Xenopus tropicalis: one gene and its partners. The protein of the gene in region 1 purifies or fractionates together with the protein of each later gene. This does not show direct contact. Links are inferred from orthologs where the notes say so. Each region holds a gene or a part of one and is shown on either strand. Other genes may lie near its edges. The genes, in order: tns2, utrn, dmd.3 and dtnb.

Evidence for each region.
Region 2: the proteins of tns2 (region 1) and utrn purify together in Homo sapiens (affinity purification with mass spectrometry; 4 studies listed by BioGRID and IntAct, with this or other methods). This does not show direct contact. The link is inferred for Xenopus tropicalis from reciprocal best matches to the Homo sapiens genes TNS2 and UTRN.
Region 3: the proteins of tns2 (region 1) and dmd.3 purify together in Homo sapiens (affinity purification with mass spectrometry; 3 studies listed by BioGRID and IntAct, with this or other methods). This does not show direct contact. The link is inferred for Xenopus tropicalis from reciprocal best matches to the Homo sapiens genes TNS2 and DMD.
Region 4: the proteins of tns2 (region 1) and dtnb purify together in Homo sapiens (affinity purification with mass spectrometry; 3 studies listed by BioGRID and IntAct, with this or other methods). This does not show direct contact. The link is inferred for Xenopus tropicalis from reciprocal best matches to the Homo sapiens genes TNS2 and DTNB.

The regions. Positions count from the first base shown.
Region 1 is NC_030678.2:147,555,637-147,561,429, forward strand, and holds part of tns2 (tensin-2), read right to left. Parts: intron 4,939-5,793; coding exon 3,588-4,938; intron 1,487-3,587; coding exon 963-1,486; intron 1-962. UniProt on the Homo sapiens protein: Tyrosine-protein phosphatase which regulates cell motility, proliferation and muscle-response to insulin. Phosphatase activity is mediated by binding to phosphatidylinositol-3,4,5-triphosphate (PtdIns(3,4,5)P3) via the SH2 domain.
Region 2 is NC_030681.2:45,459,719-45,465,511, forward strand, and holds part of utrn (utrophin), read left to right. Parts: intron 1-768; coding exon 769-948; intron 949-1,411; coding exon 1,412-1,581; intron 1,582-2,453; coding exon 2,454-2,577; intron 2,578-3,612; coding exon 3,613-3,700; intron 3,701-4,795; coding exon 4,796-5,028; intron 5,029-5,668; coding exon 5,669-5,793.
Region 3 is NC_030678.2:107,804,696-107,810,488, forward strand, and holds part of dmd.3 (dystrophin), read left to right. Parts: intron 1-409; coding exon 410-547; intron 548-2,366; coding exon 2,367-2,519; intron 2,520-4,311; coding exon 4,312-4,494; intron 4,495-5,793. UniProt on the Homo sapiens protein: Anchors the extracellular matrix to the cytoskeleton via F-actin. Ligand for dystroglycan.
Region 4 is NC_030681.2:161,052,032-161,057,824, forward strand, and holds part of dtnb (dystrobrevin beta), read left to right. Parts: intron 1-4,445; coding exon 4,446-4,659; intron 4,660-5,793.

The DNA of each region.
Region 1 (5,793 bases):
TAAAAAAACCCAGCCACTTGGCCTGATCCCAATGAGCCACGCAGGATCATTCCTTTAGTATTATTGCAGTTGCGTGTATCATTTACAAATGCAGAAAAAAGCGTATTGTAAGTGTTTTGAATATTCCTCCAGCATCCCTCGACACAAGGCAGATTTGCTCTTGGCAGATGCTGATTTGCTTAAATGTTTATGTCTAGAAGCTGACTCCTTTCTTTTTGTAAGGTTATGTCTCTAAGGCCCCAAATATGAATAATAATTGGCTGAACTCTGGTTCCCCATGGCAGGTGGATCTCAGAATTCTATAGAATTTCATATAAACTGGGTTTTTTTTGGATTTTGGTTCCCCTTTGAAATTGTGTGTTTGTTCTGATTCACAACAAGGTCACCCACCTAAGGTTCCATGATTATTTGAGACAGTAAATAAGAATTTTCAATCATATTTCCAATTTTCATCCTAACTGGTCTTCACTGCGGGAAGCTTCATACAGATAAACTGCTCTAGGTGGGTCTTGAGTTTTACTACTCCTCCGACGGACACATTTCTTAAGGAGGTAATATACGGCCAACTAAAGCTGACCAAGAATCACCTAGATTCTCTATCAGTTGGACAGATTGATGTGGTGGTTGGCCAAGTCAGTCCCAGCTGTGCTTTGTTGGCAACTGTTAAAGGAGCAGATCCGGCAGTTGTAGGGCTATGTGTACTGCACGAGGTACATACTGGCATGGCATTAAAATTGCCAAATACAACCTGAAGGCCTTTAATTGCCAGTAAAGTTTTCACCCCTTTAGATCAGATTTGTTTTTTTAGAAACATGAGTGGTTTTGGTTCCCCCTTTACCAATCTAGTCCTTGGTGTTTAAACATCACAGGATATTACATCTGTCTCAATGTAATCTAATTACCCATGTGCTTCTATCTTGTTCAACAAGAATATGTCACTTATCAATGTACAAAATACCAACCCACTGGTGATGAATGGCCTTTGTTGCACTCAGACAGTCCATTGGGATCCACTTTTGCCCCGTCAGCTGGAGAGTGATTTTTTTCTGGCAGTCGTGGTGGCTGAATACTAGGTGGGCATGGACTGCTGGAATAATAGGCAGTTCTAATAGGGAATGAAGGAGTAGGAGAAGGAGGCAGGAGATCACTTTGACTTCCCATTGGGGATTTTGGTGGGCTGGTCGGTGCTTCTTTTCCTTGGGGATTTACAGGGCTGACTGGCAATGATATAGTGACACTTCTCTTCTGGAGTAGAACGGTGTGCTTCGGCACAGAAAAACTCTGAGAACAGTAACCTGACCCAAAAGCAGTTGTACCACTGGGAGATGAGATAGCAGGCCCAAATGTGGTGTGACTCCTTTTAGCCTCTGATGTTACTGGCAGGACAAACTTAGTTACATGTGACTGGGAGGAAGAAGTTGGCAATAATGTATTTGCTTCATTTGCACAGGGGGGAGCATTCACATGAGTTGCTGGTAACCCAGGCCTGTAAGTAAGAAATAACATATTCTCTTGTCAGAAAATTCCAAATATTTGTAAAGGCCACTTAAAGCAACATATTCATTCAGTATTTACTACTGTGCATCTACTCTTCCTTCATTCATTGTTATTTGCATAGACCAGCGTTTTTCAACCGCTGTTCCGCGGCACACTAGTGTTGAGATGTTGCCTGGTGTGCCGTAGGTGAAGACAAGACTCCCCCGGTCCCCTCTGGGACACCTTCCACTTCCTGGCTCCATGATGCCCGGAAATCGTCACTGCCTGTGACGTCATCCGGCATCGGATCCAGGAGGGCGGAGCAACCAGAGAGGAGAGGCAGCACTATCCTGCCCTGGCACAACCCGACCGGGGGGAGCAACTGCCCAGGCCCTGCCCCGACAGACCAGATCCACCAGGGGCCAGGCCCATGCACAGCCGCCCTACTCCCCACCGGAGGACAATCCTGGGACACCCCTGGATGCCGCAGCCTGACATGTAAGAAAACAATTAATAATAATATATATATAAAATTTTTGTGTGTATAAAAAAAAAATAAAAAATCAGTGGGGGGGGTGGGTTTGTGGAGAAAATGTCCCGGAAAATACTTTCTTTGTGTTTATTTGATTCCTATTCAAGAGAATTACTTTATATATAGTCAATATAGGCACAGAGTTAAATTTTTTAATGGTGGTGTGCCTCGTGATTTTTTTCATGAAACAAGTGTGCCTTTGCCCAAAAAAGGTTGAAAAACACTGGCATAGACAAACAGCATTATGGGATACTACATTGAGGAAACTTGAAGCTTAAAGAAACATAAAGCAGGGGAAAGCAGAGCAATAAAAAGTATGAGATTGTGCTTAAGGGCAAGGGCACACTGGCATATTGTCAGCTTGCGGATAAGCGCAGGCTCCCGTACGCTTACAAAAATCTTATTATTGTGCCTGCACCCAGTAGCATTGAATCCACCTGGTTGCAGGTATGTGATATCTGCCAACAACTGCCAAATCTAAAATAATTTTTTAAGCGCACAGATGTATTGTCAGCCTAGACTTATCCACAGGCTGATAATATGCCAGTGTGCCCTTGCCCTAAAGGAAAACTATACCCCCACAATGAACACTTAACCAACAGATAGTTAATATCATATTAAGGAGCCTATTAAAGAACTTTACCAAACTGCAATATATATAACAGTAAATATTGCCCTTTTACATCCTTTCCCTTGAGCCGCCATTTAGTGATGGGCTGTGTGCTCCCTCAGAGATCAGCTGACAGGGAATAATGCCGCTCTGACTGTAACAGGAAGTAGTGTGGGAGCAAAAGGCAGAACTTATACACTGTCTATTAGTTGGCTGATGGGGCCTAGCATGAGCTGTATGCAATATATTTTTATAGAGACCTACACTGTTGCCAGGTATAGTTTTCCTTAATAACAAGGAAGATGAGAAAGCTGCAAAAATATTTTTTCTCTTAAATCAAAATAGGCAGCCCTGCTGTGTACAAATGTGTATTATCTTCTAGCATCTTCACTACCATATTTATAGACTGGTTTTAGTCAGCTTTATCTCATCTGTACTGCCTTTACATGCTTTATTTAGTGCAACTTTAGCTGCAACTGAAAAGGCAAGTAGAGAAAAGTCAAAGTGAGTGGCCCTATTTATGTTTTCCTTTGGAGCCACCAGCAGTCCAACACTGACCAGAGATGGCCGGCACTGGCCCAAAAGAATAACATATAGAAACTAATTTAGCTGCATGAAGTAATGCAGATCATTCATAGCTGAGAGGTGGCAACTGCAAAATGTGAAAGGTAGGAGGGTGTTCCAAGAAACCCTAGTGATATTGGCAAATCAGCTCTGTAATATATATTATAGACATAAGGCTTATTCACAGTAAACAGAAAATGAAGGCAAAAATACAGTTCAGCCAATAAATGTAATTTTATATAATTTAATTCCACACTTACAATAAAAAACCTATTTCATTAAATTAACTTCTCAATATGGTTGGCTATTGCCTGTCTATTGCACTACTGACATTTATAATGGACTTACATAATGGTCATTAAGCATTCTTCTTTCTAGAGAGAACTGTACCACATATATTCTCACCTCTCAGTAACTACAGTGCTGTTTGGATGCGTAGGCACAGGTTTCTGGGTCGGCACCGATGGACTCTGACCACCAACGGTTCTGTACAGCTGCGTGTGCACAGTGCTGTGTAATTGGGCTTGACTTGCTTTAGGCACAGGATGGTGCAATTGTACTGGAGGGATTTGACTCTCTATAGAATTGTCTGTCTGCACCAGCTGACTCTGGGTATGGACCGTACTATATGGCTTTACTGATGAATTGTTTACACTTACAGAACTGTGAGATTGGACCATTTTTTGTTGAGGCCGATCTGTTTCTGTAAGTGCAAATGCTGTGGTCACAGGTGTCTGATCCTCTGAAATGTGGGTGTGATTAGGAGAATGTGGATATGAATTGGTGATCTGCCTGGCTACACAGTTGCCCGTCTGTGGTTCAGAGGGCAGTGCAGTGTTATGTACCTCTTTACTTGTGTTTTGTGTATGGTTGGAGATGTCTGATTGGTCAGGTGAACTCTTTGTGTTGACTGGATTGTTTGTTGGAAATGTCAGGCTGTGTGTGGGCACATTGTCTTGTGCTTGTCCACGTTCATCCAGTGAGTGCAGCTGGCCATGCCCTTGTACAGCCAAACTCATATGTTGGCTACTTCCATTTAACTGCACAGACGGACTGGACAACTGTGCAGTATGGCCTGTTTGGGAAGATGGACTGTGTGTTGGGGATGCAGGGCTTGTTTGACCCAAAGGCTGACTTTGAAAAGCTGCGTTCTGTGTGTTCATGGCTGGGTTGTGCGAGGGAGATGTAGGACAGATTTGCCCCTGACTATGATTTCGAAGCACTGGATTCTGTACATGTACAGACAGGCTTTGTGTGGGGGAAGTAGAACACGTTTGCCCCTGACTGTGGCTTTGAGGAGCTAGATTCTGTATGTGTACAGATGGAGCTGATCTGAGGGCTGTAGAGTCTGTTTGCCCCTGATTATGGCCTGGAAGAGTTGGACTGAGTGTAGGGGATGTAGGACTTGTTTGTATAACACTATGGCCCTGAAGGGTGGGATTCTGCACATTTACAAGGTTATTTGTCTGCACAGAATGGCAGTAAGTATTTATGGGAGTACTTGCATGCACAGGATTTTGTGGATACACAAAATTATCTGCTTGCACTGATCTATGGATGTGCATGTTAATATCTGAAGGATTAGCGGGGCTTCTTGGTATGTGAGCGACCATGGGTGCATTTGGGTGCGGAGGGCTCCCTTGGGTAGTAGAGTTGGCATGTACAATAGCAGAGGAGCTGACAGCCGGTCCTGTCTCGAGGTGCTTATGCAGCTGCAATGTTGGAGCATTTAACTTCATGGCACGTTCACTGGGCTCTGTAGGGGAAAAGGTAACATGCATGTACTTGAATTAGTCAGCTATGAAAGCAAGGAAATGATAGTAACTATTGCCTCTACATTCATCTCTAGGAAAACCCACCGGCAACAACTGAAACAGCATTGATTCGTTCTTGTGTAATCAGAGCAAAATGGGCACAAGTACGTTCTGTGGCCCAGTGTAGACAAATGAGCCAAAGCCGACATCTCACTCAACACTAAGACCCAGAACATTTTGTAAATAACCATGTCAAATCTTAAAATATTGTTTGAAATGAGCAAATATATTCTCACCATACTAACAGCCGCAAACTCACAGTGCACAAACCTTAACTGACTGCACCAAAGTGAAGCTGTAGAAAAGAAGATCTGCTTTAAACTTCCACAGGTGATTCTGAACCAGTATTTTTTTCACCCAAAAGGAGGGGGAAAAAGGATTTTAACCCCAGGAATTGTGGGCTGTAGCATGGAAATGTTATGTGTTTAGCGCTGAGCACAGATCCTACGTACAAACCTCTGAGAGATGTGATGACACCAAAAGAAAGAAAAATCTTTTTAAAATCACATTGTACTGTTTGTATGTACCATAGACCGAATGCGCAGCAGTTTTGTTGTAAGATTGCTTTTTTTAAAAAAAATGTATACATTTTTTTTTAAATGCATTTTTTTATTCCACTAAATAGTGCAGAACAGTGCGGAATGGTTCCATTTACCACCAATGGGCCCCCACGACAGATATCTGCCCAAAAATGATTCAGCTATTGTAGATGGCTAAATTGTGCAATGAACTGCTTGTCATGCAAATTCACCAAATATCATATAATATATAAATGGGGCTGTCACACATGAGGCATA
Region 2 (5,793 bases), on another chromosome or scaffold:
CTGTGGAAAGCAAAGCAGCCAGATTCAAGAATTCATATTTTTTGTAATTAATTGTGGTTATTTTTCTTTCTTGTTATCAAACATTAAATTCTACTGGACTAGAAAAAAAACATGGCATTCTTGGTTTTCTGCATTTCTTCATTAAGAATAATGGGCTCACAGAATAGGCTCAAAAGGAACAGGTGTATCTGTCATAATAATTCTTCCACTGGTTTATTCACTTAAGCACGTGTGGGAGTTCACTCAAATCTGAAATGTTTGAGTTTAATATTATGATAAATGAAGCAAACGCCATTTCTGCAGTGCAGTACAGAATAGAACAAGAAAACCAGAAATAATCTATACACACACTGAAGCATGTTTAGCTGGTCCGGTCTTAAAAGGATTAAACAGGAACCGTGGCCCTTCAGATTCCAGCATAATTAGCATATTGTCAAGAGACGGTAATTGTAATTAATACTACAAAGGGATTTTCTAACCATTTTTAGCATTTCATTTGCTTGATTATACCACTAGAAGGAACAGGTCCACAGGGCTGACATCCTTGATATAAGCTGGCCATACACATACCGATAAAATCGAATGAAACCTAGTTTTGTACAATTTTGGAACTGTATGTGAGCTCCGAATTATCACCCCCATAAATTTCGTACCATGGCGAACGGTCGTTTAGTCGTTCGACCAGGTTAAAAAATTTTGGTCGGATAAGGAAAAAAAAGTGAAACATGCTTAGCAGACAGAAGTGCTTATTTTCTGGTTTGTATTAAGGTTCTAAAGGAAGAAATGGGAATGAAACGCAAGACTTTGGACCATCTCCATAAGATAGCACAGGATTTGGTTCAGCTTGTTGGCAATAGTAAGGCTTCTAGGAATCTCAAGGGTGACATGGAAGATCTTGCCCAGAGATGGGATGGACTGGTGCATCAGCTGGAGGAATACACTAACCAGGTATGCTAAGAGGAGAGAATGGCTGCACCGGGCCCTCTCAGATTTTTCTGCATGGGGGCCCAGTGCAAACAAGTTATGCTTCTGACCAGTTCCAAGTGAAAAATATACAAAAATAAATGTGCCAGGTGACAAACAGTGAAGTAAAGAATAAATAAATAAAATAAAAATTCTCATCCTGGGGCAGAAGGCTGGGGTAAAAAAGGTGCTGCATAATATGCCAGAAGAAAAGTGCCTTATTACAAGAGGTACTCCAATCCTGAGAGTTCAGGCACCCCACAGTTAAAAATCCTGGGGCGCAAAAAAACTCAGGCTCCATAGTAGCCTACCTTTAGGCCAGAGAATCAGGTTCCTCTCACCAATAGGGGGCGTGGCAGCTTCAATTGTTTCATACTTTACACTACAGAACATAGCATGCAATTATTTACTGGGTTTCCCCATACTTTGTTTGCTTCTTTCCTTTCAGGTTTCTGAAGCTGTAACAACATTAGGGGTTACCCAAGTATCGCGCAAGGTTGTTATTGAAACAGTAACGGTTAAAGAACATGAATTTATTCATCTTACCAAGCAAGACCTTCCCCCTCCACCACCACCAAAGAAACGGCAAATGCTCCTGGACTCAGAGGAGAAGAAAAAGTGGGTTTTGAAACAAGTAGATTGCGATAAAATATCAGATTTGTATTAAGCCACACTATTACCAGTCACATCCACATCTCCTCTTCCATGAGGCATTACTTTGCCACCTGAAGTGTGTGCTTGGTCTACCTGTACATGTCAGTACCTAACCTTCTGCTTATTGTAGTATATTTAGAACAGTATATTTGTGGGCATTTCCTAGGACTGACTAATAGTTGAAAATACAATCAATAAATTCTATATACAGAATAGTAGAAATGGCAGATAGGATCCTGTAACCATGAACTGATATTCAGGAGAGGTTTTGCCTCACTCATAGGTATCACACAATGCCTGCGTCTTTTCAGCGTAATATGTTTATTAAGGTATGTAGGATTCTGCTATTGTGGTTTGCTTCCCCTGCAACCTTGACATATTTAGTTTACCATAGAAGAGTAAATGACCTTGGTGATGCAAGGAACACTCTAGTATACAATTTTGTTTCCTAGCATATATTCAGCAGAATATTTCTTAGAATTAAGAATGAATGCCCTTTAATAGCAATACATACTACAGTGTAAGGGGAATACACCTCCCAGCACTATTTGATACAAGAACACTGGTTTAGCTTGCCTCTATTTAGAGAAATGCTAAGTAGGAGAATGTGGGACCTGCAAAACATGGGTTCAGTTGCCTAAGACCCTAGCAACCAGATAACTGCTAAAATACCAAACTGTATGTTTGGCTGAACAAAAAGTAAAATAACAACAAATAAAAACATACAAAAAAAAAATGAAGACCAACTGCAAAATGCATCATGTCTATATCATATTAGAAGTTCATGTAAAGTTGAACTACCACTTTCAGACCTATTTTGCCTTTTTTTACTTCAGATTTGATGTTGAAGCTGCTGAACTGTTGAATTGGATGATAAAATCCAAAGCTGCACTTCAAACTGCAGAGATCAGTGACTATAGAAAGATTAGCGAAACCTTGGACGTAAAAGAAATGCTAAAGGTAATGTGAAACATGGGAAGGAAGTCTTTCTGAATAGGTGTTTTGTCTGTTGTAAACTATGTACCAGCCAGAGGGATGATCTGTAGTCTTGCCGTCAAACTGCATAATCTTTACTCTGCAGCTTTATTGGCTGCCTGCTCTGTCAAACCAAAGATAATGGAGTCATCTGCATTGTGTGTACATAAATAATCAGCAGGGAGACTTTATGAGAGTTTGCTTTTCATTGGGCAATTTTATAGGATATGCATCATTAATTCTGTGTTCTATTTCTTTTTCTGTCCATGTTCACTCTGGAAATCAAAGCTTTGCCCTGTATTTTCACATTCCTGGACAGGAACTTTTATATTTCCATGATCATTTATAAAGAATCAGAATGCATTAATTAAAATCTTCTGGGTGGCAAAACCGTAATTTGCCACTGTAGACCTGAATACTCCAATATATTTCTAACTGCTGGGTTGGGATATCACTGGTCTGTACAGTGTAGTATTCAGATTGAATTTGGCTTTTTTCCCTCTCTGTTAGAACAGTGTAGCAGATTGCTGCCATTTCCTGAACTGATATTGTGTTAATGTAGATTGACATATAGTATAGAGTGATAATAGACCCACTTTCCTATTTTCATTTTATTTGTGGGCTGGGTTGTAGTGTTGCCTTTACTTTACCTATTAAAATCTTGCCTTTTGCATGCGTGCACTGATAGCTGGAGCAGATGCATTGGTGCTCTGGGACCTTCTTGCACCATTAAATTCATAAATAAGGAGAATATTAAAACCATGTTAAGTAATTTGTTAAATAGGCCAATAATGGATAATTGGTGGCATGCAAGATGTTGTTGAATTACTTTTTGCAACCTCTGATTGACAGCTTAACGCTACTGAGATGTGCTGGAAGTTTAGAGAAATCTATAGGGTTGCTCTGGGGAAATGATTCTCGCTCTGTGGCCCTCTATTGTTTTGCTATACTATAAAAGTAGAAGTCCTCATAGACATTTGATTTAGTAAAGATTATTTGTTTGTTTGTGTTCAATTTCAGGCTATGGAGACAGAAAAGATGAACAGAACGCAAATATTTGAAGAACTTTTCCTTAAAGGACAGTACATGTTAGAGCTGTGCAAGGAAGGTACGATCATATAACATTCTATGATCTAAACTGTGATCATGAACTAAACCGTAGCAAATAGAAAGTAATTATATATCCTGCACTAGTCTAATTCAGTCATAATCTGCATAGAAGCAAAAATGTTGTTTTTTCCTTTAGCATTAATTTTTCAAGGGTGTGTTGAGTATGGAACCCTTCCTATGTAATCGTGGGCAAACGTTTGACTTGTAACTTGCCTTGGAGCATCTTTAAGTTTCTCATTGCAAAATAAGCATTTTTTATTCATTGGCTTTCTTTGGCTGCACGGCAAGACAGTTCCAGCTCTGTGTTGAATGTTGTTTCGTTTCTACAGCTGTTCAAATATTATTCGGAAGTTGCTGAATGATGGCTAACCTTTTCCTTATCATTTAATTTCCTGACTTTTCTCCACTGTCGGCACAATTCATCCTGAACTAACACACCTTGTGTGCCATACATTGATGGGTACTCAAATAAAGTGTCCTTCAAGGGTACTTCCATTAAAGCTGGCCTTTTACCAGGCAAAAGGGCGAGTGTATAAGTAAGACGGGGAGGCTCTGAACTTTCTCCCATTTATACCGTTTATAGTTAAATGCAGCCAAGGATTTAGGGAATTGCATAGCATTTTTTATGATTTGTTTAATTTTGTTTTTCCCCGGACATTTAACTTTCTGTGTTCTATTGTATGATGCTGCCTTTTTATTTAAAATATTGCAAACAACACAAACCAACATATCCACAAAACTACTATTTAGGGTAGGATCATACCATAGTCATACCGGTATAAGCAACAATATGATCAAATAGTGTACTGCATGGGGGTCTGCTAGTCCACCTTCCTCTATGCACTTGTAAAGGATTATTAGGTACATATTTTTCAAAGGTGAAAAGAGAGTTCAACCCAAGTTTTGTATCTGTTATTTGATAGCTCTTGTAATTCTTGCTTGTGACACACTGCCCTTTAGTTAGTTATAAAGAAACGTAGTGTGGATACAGAGTCGCACAGCATTATTTATGTCATTATCACAAATAACCCCTTTCTATGTGTGTACTTTGCATTATACTTATACTTTGTCTTATTTCTGGGGGTTGGTGCAGAAGATATACCTGATGAAGGCCTGACAGACTCCTTGGATAGGCTTCAGTCTGAATGGAAAAAGACCTCCCAGCAACTGGATGAGCTGAAGAAGGGGATACATTATCAGGATGATATCAGTGCTCATTTCAGAGAGCTGGAGAGCTTGGGGCAAATGTTAAACCAGGTGGAGAATAGACTGGCTACCTCTGCATCTCAAGAACAGTCACTGGAATTCCAAGTGGAATCCAGCAAGGTCAGTAATGGTAGCTTCCCTTCATCCATATAAGTACTCCTTATATGTTGAACTTAAAGGCACCATGCAGTCCCGTGTTAATTAAAGTTTTGTCTGACCAGGTGTCAGAAGCATGTTTTTATTATCCTTATTAAAATGAACTCAAACCAACGTACCAGTGCAGACTATACCTCCAGGGGGGTATGCCATTATTTAATACTAATGAAAAGGCATTTTATTGAATGGGTATGGTGTGACACAGCTTTTTTTTATCAGGAATTTATAATTTGGCACGTGCTGTTAAGCTTTAACTCTTACGTCTGGCAGTGTTATACAGTTGTTGTTCATATAGTATGGCATAGTCATTTAGCATTGATGACAGCGAATGATTAACAATATTTATAAATTATTATTATACTCTGTCAACCGGTGCTGGGAATGAAAGAAAGGCAGAGGTTTGATATTCTTTTATGAAAGCATTTCCAAATGTATAGTATAAACATTGGCAGATTGTCTGTCTGCTTTTTTTATTTTCTGAAAAAGGAGTGGAAAAGCTGATTTTTTTTAATGCATTTGCCTTGTGACGCACATACCTACAAATGGGTTGCTATAGAACACTGTGATGGAACATGCATGTATAATATCTAACATTTCTTTTTAGGAAAATTTATCCAGACTCAATGAGATTAACTTCCGTATTGAAAACCAAAAATCCGCTGTGTTGGTACTGAACGCACACCCCATGGCTCCAGGTTTTATTGGCTCCAGTTTCAGTGGCTTTCTAGA
Region 3 (5,793 bases), about 40 Mb from region 1:
AAGAATTAAATTGCTGCTGTGGAAATTCACTCAAATGTTAGCCTTAGTAATAACTTCTCAAGTATAAAGACAGCAACATCCAGGGTAACTTTACACAAAAATCATTCTGTTTTATTCGTAACAGAGGTTTCCAAGAGAGAAGTAAATGGTAACCGTGCTCAACAAAAGTAATAGCAACTCACATTTTTTGTTCATTAACCAACACTAAAATTCCTTGGTATTCCCTTCCTCCAAGTTGCTGCCAATTACTACATCATTACTGTAATGTAATAGAAAACATTGATTTGCACTAATGCATATCTAGCAGAAGATGCAAGAGCATGAACGTCTCCCCCTTTTAACATCATGCTCTACTTTATTGTATTTTATCATAGTTTTCAAGTGTATTTTCTTCCTTTTTTGTGATCAGAGTGAAGATAATGAAGAGCCTGTGAAGGAATTGCTGCTAAGGGGAAATAATCTTCAACAAAAAATTACCGATGAGAAAAAATGTGAAGAAATAAAACTAAAGCAACAGCTTTTACAATCAAAACACAATACTCTAAAGGTAACCAGTATGATATATACATAGAAGGTTGATATTATAGTAAAATATAAAATTTTTATATGATTTTGTGCTTTTACTGTTAAGGATACAGTATGTCTTAATAATGTTTAAATATTTTATTTATATATATATATATATAATATATATGGTTTGGATATCATGAGCAAATGGAAAAATAGCAATTAGACAGTAATACAAATTTATGGGGGTAATTTATCAATAACTGAGTTTGATTTTTTTTCACGATTAAAGGTTTTTAGTGCTAAAACTCACAAAATTTGAAAAATGGTTCAAAAACTCTAATGTCTGATATTTATTAAGTGCAAAATAAATTAAAACTCTGTGTAAAACATCAGCATCTAAAAGCTTGCAAGTTTATCTAAAAGTCAATTAAGTTTGGAAAGTATTCAAGTTTTTTTTTATTCGAGTTTTCCATGTTAATAAATAAGCAAGCATTCAAGTTTTTTTTTAAATGTGAGTTTAATACAGTTAGAAAAACACACTTGAATTCACAAACTCGAAAACTGATAAATAAGTCCATTAGACTTAGAATTTTTGAGTTTTCATTGTATTTTTTTAAGTTTTTTTCTTTGCTTCTACTTACATCTGTATAGTTGCATTATCTGGCAAAATAACCCAGTAAATTTGCAATGCTGTATAAAATGCTTAATTCTGTTTTAGAATAAAAGTTGAAACAATTCTATACATATTTTAAGTATAAATACAGCAGCACGTCACATACAGCAGGGGCGTCACAAAGAGTTTTTACACTTTGTTCATAGGTAGAACATCTTACCTTTTAAAAATTTTGAAGTGCAGCAAAAGTAGGTTCATATAGCCACTGATCAGTATAATATAAAATGCATATTAGCAAGATTAATGTACATTTTGGGCAGATGCTGGTACCTCATGCTGAGAAGAAATATAATACAGGTATCGGACCCCTTATCCGGAAACCCATTATCCAGAAAGCTCCGAATTACGGAAAGCCCGTCTCCCATAGACTCCATTTTAATCAAATAATTCAGAATTTTAAAACTGATTTCCTTTTTCTATGTAGAAAAAAATCAGTACCTTGTAATTGATCCCAACTAAGATATAAATAATCCTTATTGGATGCAAAACAATCCTATTGGGTTTAATTAATGTTTTACTGATTTTTTAGTAGACTTAAGGTATGGAGATCCAAATTACGGAAAGACCCCTTATCCGGAATACCCTTGGTCCCGAGCATTCTGGATAATGGGTCCTATACCTGTATTCAAAATGTAAATTTATTTCTGAAACTGATTGCAACTTGATGTCTCTGGGAGTAATAAGTAATAAACTTACATCTTTACAGTACATTTTCATTTTCCAGTAGATAAGAAACAAAAATATTCTTGCAAAAGAAGAACACATATAATAATTTAATATGACAGTGTAGTTTTTAGATTTTGTCTGTTCTGAATATTTTTTAAGTTAAGATGTCCTGTTGATTAATAAATAATTAATATGAAACTTTATTTGAATGATTTCATTTTTCTTGACCAAGGTGAAAGTGGTTTGCTTACCAAAATGTTTTTGCACTTCTTAGAAATAATTTTGGGGCTCTTGTGGCTATATGGGGGCTAAACATAAATATTACAATGAAGATAATGCATTAGGAACAACAGTATACAAGAATTGGCTGATCAACCATAATATATATACTAGTAATACATTGATTCTGAGAAAATGAAGCTAGCAATGTGTAATGGAGTTGGAAATGGAAATTATTCCAGATTCTATTATATTCTAGGTGTGTATATATAATTCACTTTAAGTATTCTATACACAGATTTTGAGAACTCAAAGAAGAAAAAAGGCATTGGAGATCTCCCATCAATGGTATCAGTATAAGAGGCAGGCTGATGATTTACTAAAGTGCTTGGATGACATTGAAAGAAAAATTGCAAGTCTTCCAGATCCCAAAGATAACCAGAAACTTAAGGTATTCTCACTAAGTCTGCTCAGAGCATTGTTTTATCTAAATATTTTATATTCTATAAAAAAAATATTTTTGAACAGGCTGTAGCAGTCCATTATATTTAAAGGGCCATTTAAACTGTCAACAGTCAAAGAAAGAGCAATTAAAATAGGCAAAAGCATGCAGGGAAAATTCACAAGCTTTGCTAAACCTTTTCATGCTGACAGTTGGCATTTTGAGCTATGTTGTGTATTGCCATGTAAACAAACATGCAGCATAGCTCTAAGAGTTGACAGAAAATATGAAATCTATGTTGAAGGCATTAAGGTATTTTTATGCCAGCACCATAGAAATCTTGTGTGAGTGTTCTTGGTCATTTAGTTTCATATGAATTCATAAGGTGCCACAGAACCTATTGCTACACTAAAGTTTTCCTGCATTAAGTTAGGAAACTCAAATGCCACAGAGTGGCATAAGGATTATTTAAAATTTGAAATACTAATTCTTCATCGCAATGAGCCAAACAAAAGCTAGCTTGTCCATTAATATGCCAGACCTTTTAGCAGTACATGAAATAACAGTATTATATTAAGAGTTATGTAGTCTAGGGCATCTATTGAGTATATCAACAGGCCCTTGTAATCAAATAGATATACCAACTAATGTATTCACTGTGGACCCAGATATGGGCATTTTGGTTAGCTGACCATCATTATCTGTCTTTGTATATGCTGATTAATTTGACATTACTTAATAGTATTATTGAATTACTTCTTTCAAGCTTTCAAGTCATACATATAATTAATTTACAAAGTCACAAAATACAATTTACTGGCACAGCAAAGTCACACTGTCTGGAAGCACTTATTGAGAAGGGGACAACAAATTTATTAGCAGTTCACAACACTCCCCACATCATTTATTTGACATATAACATTATTACTACAGGAGCTAAAAAAATTGTTAACAGTCAATTGTTATACAATCTGGTGGAGCTTAGTTGGACACCAAAATATGTATGGCAATATGTACTAAACAGCATTAATGGAATGAAAATATGTAACAATAAGAATGAAAAGTTTATTACACTGCAGATTTTTTACTATGGGATATATAATTTTAAGACCAGCCTAAAGGTGGCATAATTTATTTGCATAACAGTTATAACAATAATGTTATATTGCATACATTATGTGCTGGTGCAAATGATGAAACAATCTTTTTTTAATAAATCCTTTTCAGTATTTAAATGAATAAAAGAAAGGTGGCAATGTATTTGCATTTGAATCATGTTCAAATGTTTTAACTTCTGTTATAATGTTTCTTTGTTCCAGATGATCTAATGACTAACAGTACGTGGATGACCTCTCTCATATTAGCACACTTCTTTCATCAAAACATGCTCATATGTTACTGTGTAGTCACTCAAACAGTTCATAACTCTTAATTTGGATCACTTTATTTTGCTTCATTGTTGCTTTAATTTGCAATTCAGTCACAATATAAAATTAAACATTGGCCTTTGTCTGTTCTGTAGATGTAACTGACAAGTTTTATATAGAAAGCATGTAATAGCTTGTATACCTATATGAATAGAAATTCATATCTAATTTACAATTAAACAATGATCCCAAGAATCTTAATTACACTGGACATTCTTTGTATACTAGTGTAAGTTTTGTAATGCATTTTAAATTCACTTGCTACATTAAAAACAAGGGGTTGGAAGAAGACAAAGTATTGCTACTACATCTAATGCAAATTACTTAAGTAGTTAGCTAACTGCTCTGGGCCCTGTATTGGTTTTACTCAATAGGAGATTGATGGAGAACTGGAGAAGAAGAAAGAAGAACTGATTTCAGTGCACAGGCAAGCTGAAAGTTTGTCTAAGGAAGGGGCTGGCAAAGCAGTGGAGCCAACTCTGATCCAGCTCAACAAACGCTGGAAAGAAATTGAGAGCAAATTTGCTCCATTCCGAAGACTGCACTATGCACAAATTGTGAGTTGCTATTGGCAAACGTGTTTGTTTGCAACTAACCAAATACTACTAACAAGAAGGAAAAATGTGTGGCCATTTTCCCTGCTGAGTCTTCAAAAAATGTTTGAGCGTGGCCTCCTCTGTCTGTACTACATCCTCTAATGTTATAACCAACCCTTGTACAACACTGTTTCAAAATCATTATATCATATATTAATGCATGTTACTATTTGTTGCTTTGTTCATTTGTTCATAACATTCATATCTAGTGAGAAGTAAAAGCAATAGGAATCCAGATATCCATCCCATGCTGTTTTAATTTCTTTATTTTGTTTTGTTTTCTAATTCAATTATAAAGACCAACATATAGATGTTGTGTGAGTCAGTAGTGCATAAAACTTTGCCCTTGATATTTAACTTGTGTAACTCATTATACTGTATCTTGGCTTTTTTTTAATACAAACTCAGGAATAATTGTTCTTTCACTTATAATCATGAATACAGCAAGTACTGAGAGATGATTTTGGGGATTAAGTCATTTTTTTCCAAATGTTCTATCATCAAGACTTGATGGAAAGTACAGTACCATGGATACAGCTGTATTATTGACTTGACCATGTCACCTCTTCTTAAAAGTTGGCTTGTTAAAGATTTTTAGTGGCCTGGTTTTGTGCACCCTGATCTCACATTATCTGGTCTGTGTAACATATAGGACATATATAATACATATTTTAATTATTAAGGTGGTTTAATACTATTGGCTTGAATCCCATATAGCACTATCATAAGTAAAGTAAATTATATTAGTATCTGTGGATATGCAAGCATTAAATGAGCTATGACTCAGTGTAGATTTTTTTTTTTTTAATATAAATGTCAATCATAGTACATTTGCTTGTATTATAGGCAGCAATGGTTTGTCTAATTATGTATGTGTTTTTCATTCATTAGACTGACAGAAGCACTTCTGTGGATAGAATGGTGCAAAAAGTTTTCTAAGAATATGCAAAAGCAATTCTGTTTTAGTGTTTAACCTGGGCAAGACCTTAATAATGATCACAAAAATGCATCATCCTGTCCATGAAAGTGGAATATATTTTAATAATAGTAATTGCAGTAAAGGAATGGAAATAGTTCCTGTTAGGGGCTTCTCATACCTTTAATTTGCCTTCAATGACTTTCTAAGTGACTTTAAAGGGTATCATATAAGTAGTTAGCATATGTTTATTGAATATGTAAGATCTCTGAGACAATATGGCTGAAGACAATAAGTAAATGCATCCAGTAAAAGTAGTTGTATAGAAATGTGCATTTACTCAC
Region 4 (5,793 bases), on another chromosome or scaffold:
GCCTCTTGTAAGAGGTCAGGGAGAGCCTCCTCATGGCGCCCCTCTTCCAGCAGACTACAAATGGCAGCCACGGTGCCTTCTCTTTCTACGTACGGTTTCATCATATTTACATGGACCGTCTTATACTGGTCCTGGTTATCAAGAGGGGAGACCACGTAAGTAGTATCATGAATGGATTGTACCACCACATAGGGCCCTTCCCAGGCTGCTTGCAACTTGTCTGACCTCATTGGTGTCAGTAGTAACACCTTGTCCCCCGGACCGAATCGCCGGTCCCTGGCATTCCTATCATACCAAACTTTTTGTTTGGTTTGAGCAGCTGTCAGATGTTCCTTCACCAGAGCGGTCATTTTCTCTAGACGTTTACGAAATTGTAGAACATAAGGAACTACAGGAAACTCAGGGAATTGGGCTCCCCCCTCCCAGTACTCCCTTAGCAAGTCTAGGGGGCCTCGAACCCGCCTCCCATACAACAACTCAAAAGGAGAGAACCCAGTAGACTCTTGGGGAACTTCTCTATATGCAAACAAAAGACAGGGCAGAAACTTCTCCCAGTCACCTTCTCCAGCCTCCACAAAAGTTCGTAACATATTTTTAAGAGTCCCATTGAAACGCTCACACAGGCCATTAGTTTGAGGGTGGTACGGGCTTGAGCGAAGAGAGGTGACCCCACAGCGCTGCCATAGACACTGAAGTAATTGGGACATAAACTGTGGCCCTTGATCGGATAGGATCTCACTAGGAAACCCTACTCGTGAAAAAATCTGAATCAGTGCATCTGCAACGGCTGGGGCATCAATTCTCCGTAAAGCCACCGCCTCTGGGTACCGGGTGGCATAGTCTACCATTGTAAGTATATATTGCTTGCCTGTCCTGCTGGGTCGGCTAAGGGGTCCTATCAAATCAACAGCAACTCTCTGAAATGGCTCCCCTATCACTGGTAAGGGTCGCAATGTATGCTTGTTCCGCTCCCCACTTTTCCCAACCCTCTGACAGCTGTCACATGATCGGCAGAACTGTGCCACTTGTTGTGACAACCCTGGCCAATAGAAATTTTGTAGCAGGCGATAGCGCGTGCGAGAAATCCCTTGGTGCCCTGCGAGGGGTACCTCATGTGCAAGGTGCAGCAACTGGGTCCTAAATTTGGCAGGCACCAACAACTGACGGCATGCTTCCCTTTGTTTTCCTCTAGGGCTTTTGAGGACTCTATAGTACAACCCATCCTCCTGCACTATTTGTTCCCCTGCTTCGGTACCTACCACCCCTTGCCCAGCTCTGTCTCTTAATGGCTGAAGACTAGGGTCTGCTGCTTGTTCAGCCCTAAAATCCTGCCAATTACCTATGTCAAATGAGTCATCAGTCACATCTGTCTGCCCATTTACCTCCTGGACAACTGCCGGTGGCTCGCCTGACTCTGCCTGCCGCCTCGTGATGCTGCAGCAAATGTCTCCCACATCATTTCCAAGCAGGACATCAGCAGGAAGTTGATCCATGACCCCCACTTCATGCAGCACGGGCCCTTCTCCCCAGTCCAAAGTCACTTGTGCAATTGGCACCTCTCTGCGCTGTCCTCCAGCCAGAATCACTCGGGCCATTTTCCCCAGAACGATGCGATTTAACGTCACCACACTAGGTTCCGCCAGAGTTATAAAGGCACCAGAGTCCAGGAAACCTTCCACTGGGTTTCCATCTACTTGCACTGGAATCACATGGCATTTTCTCTTGGACTGATCTGCCCAGTGTATCTGCATTACTGCAAATTCGGGGGTCTCACTTAGGTTGATTTCAGGCAGGTCACACTCTGCACTTTCCTTCTGAACAGTGGCGACAGGTCGAGCAGGCGTCACCTTTGGAGCCCCTGACACAGAAGGAGATCGCTGGTTTAGAGGGCAAGAAGCTTGAAAGTGACCCAGGGCCCCGCATCGAAAGCAGCTTCTAGGTCCAGCCCCTGGTAGCGGTGGGTGGGGAGCAGCATTAGTGCCAGTGGAATGCGGATGAGAGCCTGGCAGCTCTCTTGCCCTGGGACCTGTTGTACCTGGTGCTTGGGGCCCTCTCTTTGTAGGCATCCTGGTTTCCATATACTTGTCTGCCAACTGGGCAGCTTCTTCTACTGTCTGTGGCTCACGGTCTACAACCCACTCTCGGACTCCTGGGGGGCACCGCTCCAAAAATTGCTCTTTCAGGCATAATTGCCTTAAGTCCTCCATTGTTTCAGCCCCAGACCCTTTAACCCACTTGTCAAGGGCCCTTGATAACTTGTTACCAAACTCAAGGTAAGTATCCTGGGGGGTCTTTAGCAGTGACCGGAATGTTTGCCGGTAAAACTCTGGGGTGATAGCATAACGGATCAGCAATGCTTGTTTAATCTCCTCATAGTCCAGTCTTTGTTCATCAGACAAGGCCCGAAATGTAGCGCTGGCCCTTCCAGTTAGCTTGCCAGAAAGGATTCGGGGCCAGTCCTCTTCTGAGATGTTATGGGCCCTGCACATAATTTCAAATGTCTCTAGAAAGGCATCAATGCTGTCCTGCCCTTCGTGAAATGTGGGGAAGGCAGTGGCAAGCTTCAGAATGTCTCGTGCCCGACTCTCCACTGAGGACACGGATAGCCTACCATGCTCCCCTAAGCCATGTCCTTCACTGGCCACCTCCTCCTGCACCATTTTCATCAACTCCATCTTTTCTGCCACAGTCAGCTCCTCACGGAACAATTCCAGCCTTTGTTTAAACACCTCTCCAACCCTGTCTCGGGTAGGGTTGGCTGGTGGCCCCCGGACCGCTTCAGGGGCCCCAGCAATAGCAACATCTGATGTAACAGTCTCAGCATCTGAATGTAGGAGGGGCAGCAGTAAAGCAATAATCTCTGCCTTTTTCTTCCCTTCTGGGGCTATGCCCCTTCTGCGACTCCACTTTCTCAGAGTGGCAAGGGTTAACTCCTCCAGGTTTACCCCCCACACCCTACTATGGAGCCTTCGCTGCCAGAAGATAAAATAGATCCGGTGGGGGTGCAGTTTTGAGCCGTTCCTGGCACAGATACCCCCACACACTGCAGGGTGGCACAAAAGAAAGGACCAAGTGAATGTATGCCTGCAGTTTGCCAATAAAGCACTGGAGTGGCCCAAATAGGCCAAAATAAAGTTTTTGTTATCCTCAAGGTCAAATCAGTAAGCGTGGGCTGCTCTCCCCCCGCAGGGATGTGGCACCTTGGGCACCTTGTTAGGCTAGGGGCCACTGGCACAGACACACCTTTCATCGGAGTTCTTCTATTTTCATATCTTTTATTGATCCAAGGATAAACAACATATAACCCTGTATGCTCTTATGTGTAGTCCAATATAAACATCTATACAAAGCACAGGCTTTTTATATACTCACATTATCTTCATACACTCCATGTATTAATCTCATATACTCCAAATACTCATAATATACTCAGGTTATCCTCTATACACTCTTACTCCTACTTCTACTGTTCTCAGATTGTCCGTTGTGATAGGATCTGTTATTCGGAAACACTTTATCCACAACATACATAGGTGCCATTTCCTACACTGTCCTGTTCTGTTTTATTTCCCCGATGGGATATAAAGATTCAGTGATTTGTTAGTTTCGCCTCGGCGGGGCTCCCCTCTGTCCTACCCCCATACTTACCCCCTGACCCACCCCTGTACTTACCCCTTGCGCTCTGTCCCACCTTTGTACTTACCCTCTGTCCTACCCCTGTACTTACCCCCTGCCCTCTGTCCCACCCCCATACTTACCCCCTGCCCTCTGTCCTACCCCTGTACTTACCCCCTACCCTCTGTCCCACCCCCATACTTACCCCCTGCCCTCTGTCCTACCCCTGTACTTACCCCCTGCCCTCTGTCCTACCCCTGTACTTACCCCCTGCCCTCTGTCCTACCCCTGTACTTACCCCCTGCCCTCTGTCCTACCCCTGTACTTACCCCCTACCCTCTGTCCCACCCCCATACTTACCCCCTGCCCTCTGTCCCACCCCCATACTTATCCCCTGCCCTCTGTCTTACCCCTGTACTTACCCCCTGCCCTCTGTCCTACCCCCTGTACTTACCCCCTGCCCTCTGTCCTACCCCTGTACTTACCCCCTGCCCTGTCCTACCCTTGTACTTACCCTCTGTCCCACCCCCTGTACTTACCCTCTGTCCCACCCCTGTACTTACCACCTGCCCTCCGTCCCACCCCCGTACTTACCCCCTGCCCTCTGTCCCACCCCCGTACTTACCCCCTGCCCTCTGTCCCAACCCCGTACTTACCCCCTGCCCTCTGTCCCAACTTTGTACTTACCCCCTGCCCTCTGTCCCACCCCCGTACTTACCCCCTGCCCTCTGTCCCAACCCTGTACTTACCCTCTGTCCCACCCCTGTACTTACCCCCTGCCCTCTGTCCCACCCCTGTACTTACTCCCTGCCTTCTCCTCTCTCTTTCAGTTCACCTGGTTGACATTTGGAATATGATAGAAGCTTTCCGGGACAACGGCCTTAACACACTGGATCACAACACAGAGATAAACGTGTCCCGGCTAGAGACCATCATATCGTCCATATACTACCAGCTCAATAAGCGCCTCCCTTCCACCCATCAGATCGGCGTCGACCAGTCCATCAGCCTTCTGCTCAACTTCATGATCGCTGCTTATGACAGGTCGGTCCCGTCGGCTTTCCCTGTATGTGTGGGTGTCAGCAGTGATTCCCTTCTGGTTCCGACTACTGACTCAGCTGGGAATGTTCTATATACACAGAACCTATTCAGTGCCAGCAAGCAGACTTTGCAGTAATACCGGCCCAGTAACAGAGCAAGGGCAAGTGGGGCAATACCCCTGCATGTTTATTGGGTAAGCTGCAACATTTCAGCCCCCCAGTCACATGCAATAAACATACAGGGGGTTGCCTTCTATACCGAGCGCCGAGCCCACAGTACCAGCAAAGATATGAGATTCTGGTTATACTGGGTTTGTTCCACATCCGAACTGTACCTAGTGATCTTATTAGCAGTAATAATTCACTATCCCTTTAGGCCAGGAGAGGCCCTGTAGATCTGCTAAGGCGGATGGAGTCAGAGGGAAGCTCCAATCAAGGCATTGGCAGCCTACAGAGAAATCCATGTTGTTGTGGTTAGTGGCTTGTACTGGAAACCAACCTATGTTTTGTCTCGGGAGCAAATTGGGAAAGAAGCTTAAATTATATGCCCTGGGGTTAAACAGAAACTCCGGTTGGGAGAGAAGCCACATCCACAAGGGGAAGGTGGAGAGAAGGGGGCTAACAAGTAAGGATTAGGGGCTGGATAAGGCACTGGGGCAGCCTGGGAAGGCAAGAGCTGGCTTTGGCTAAGGAGGCACACAGCTCTGTTTGTAGGGGAAATGGGAAGCTGATTGTAGATAACCCCACAGGGCTATGTTGCCTCAGGGCTAGGGTGCCTCAGGGCTAGGGTGCCAGAGGGCTAAGGTGCCTTAGGGCTAGGGTGCCACAGGGCTATGTTGCCAGAGGGCTGTGGTGCCAGAGGGCTGTGGTGCCACAGGGCTAGGGTGCCACAGGGCTAGGGTGCCAGATGGCTATGTTGCCTCAGGGCTAGGGTGTCACAGGGCTAGGGTGCCAGCCTAACCAAGGAGGAGTTAGGAGTTGTTCTTGTGCAGAAACATTCCAACTGCACAAGGAATTAGGAAATCTGTGGTGAGACTCAATTTGTAATATTTTGGCCGAGATCCACTCAGCTGAGAGGTTGCGTAAGACAAGCAGGCTGGGATAGAAATGCTCTGAGTGTGTGGCACTGTACCTGGGG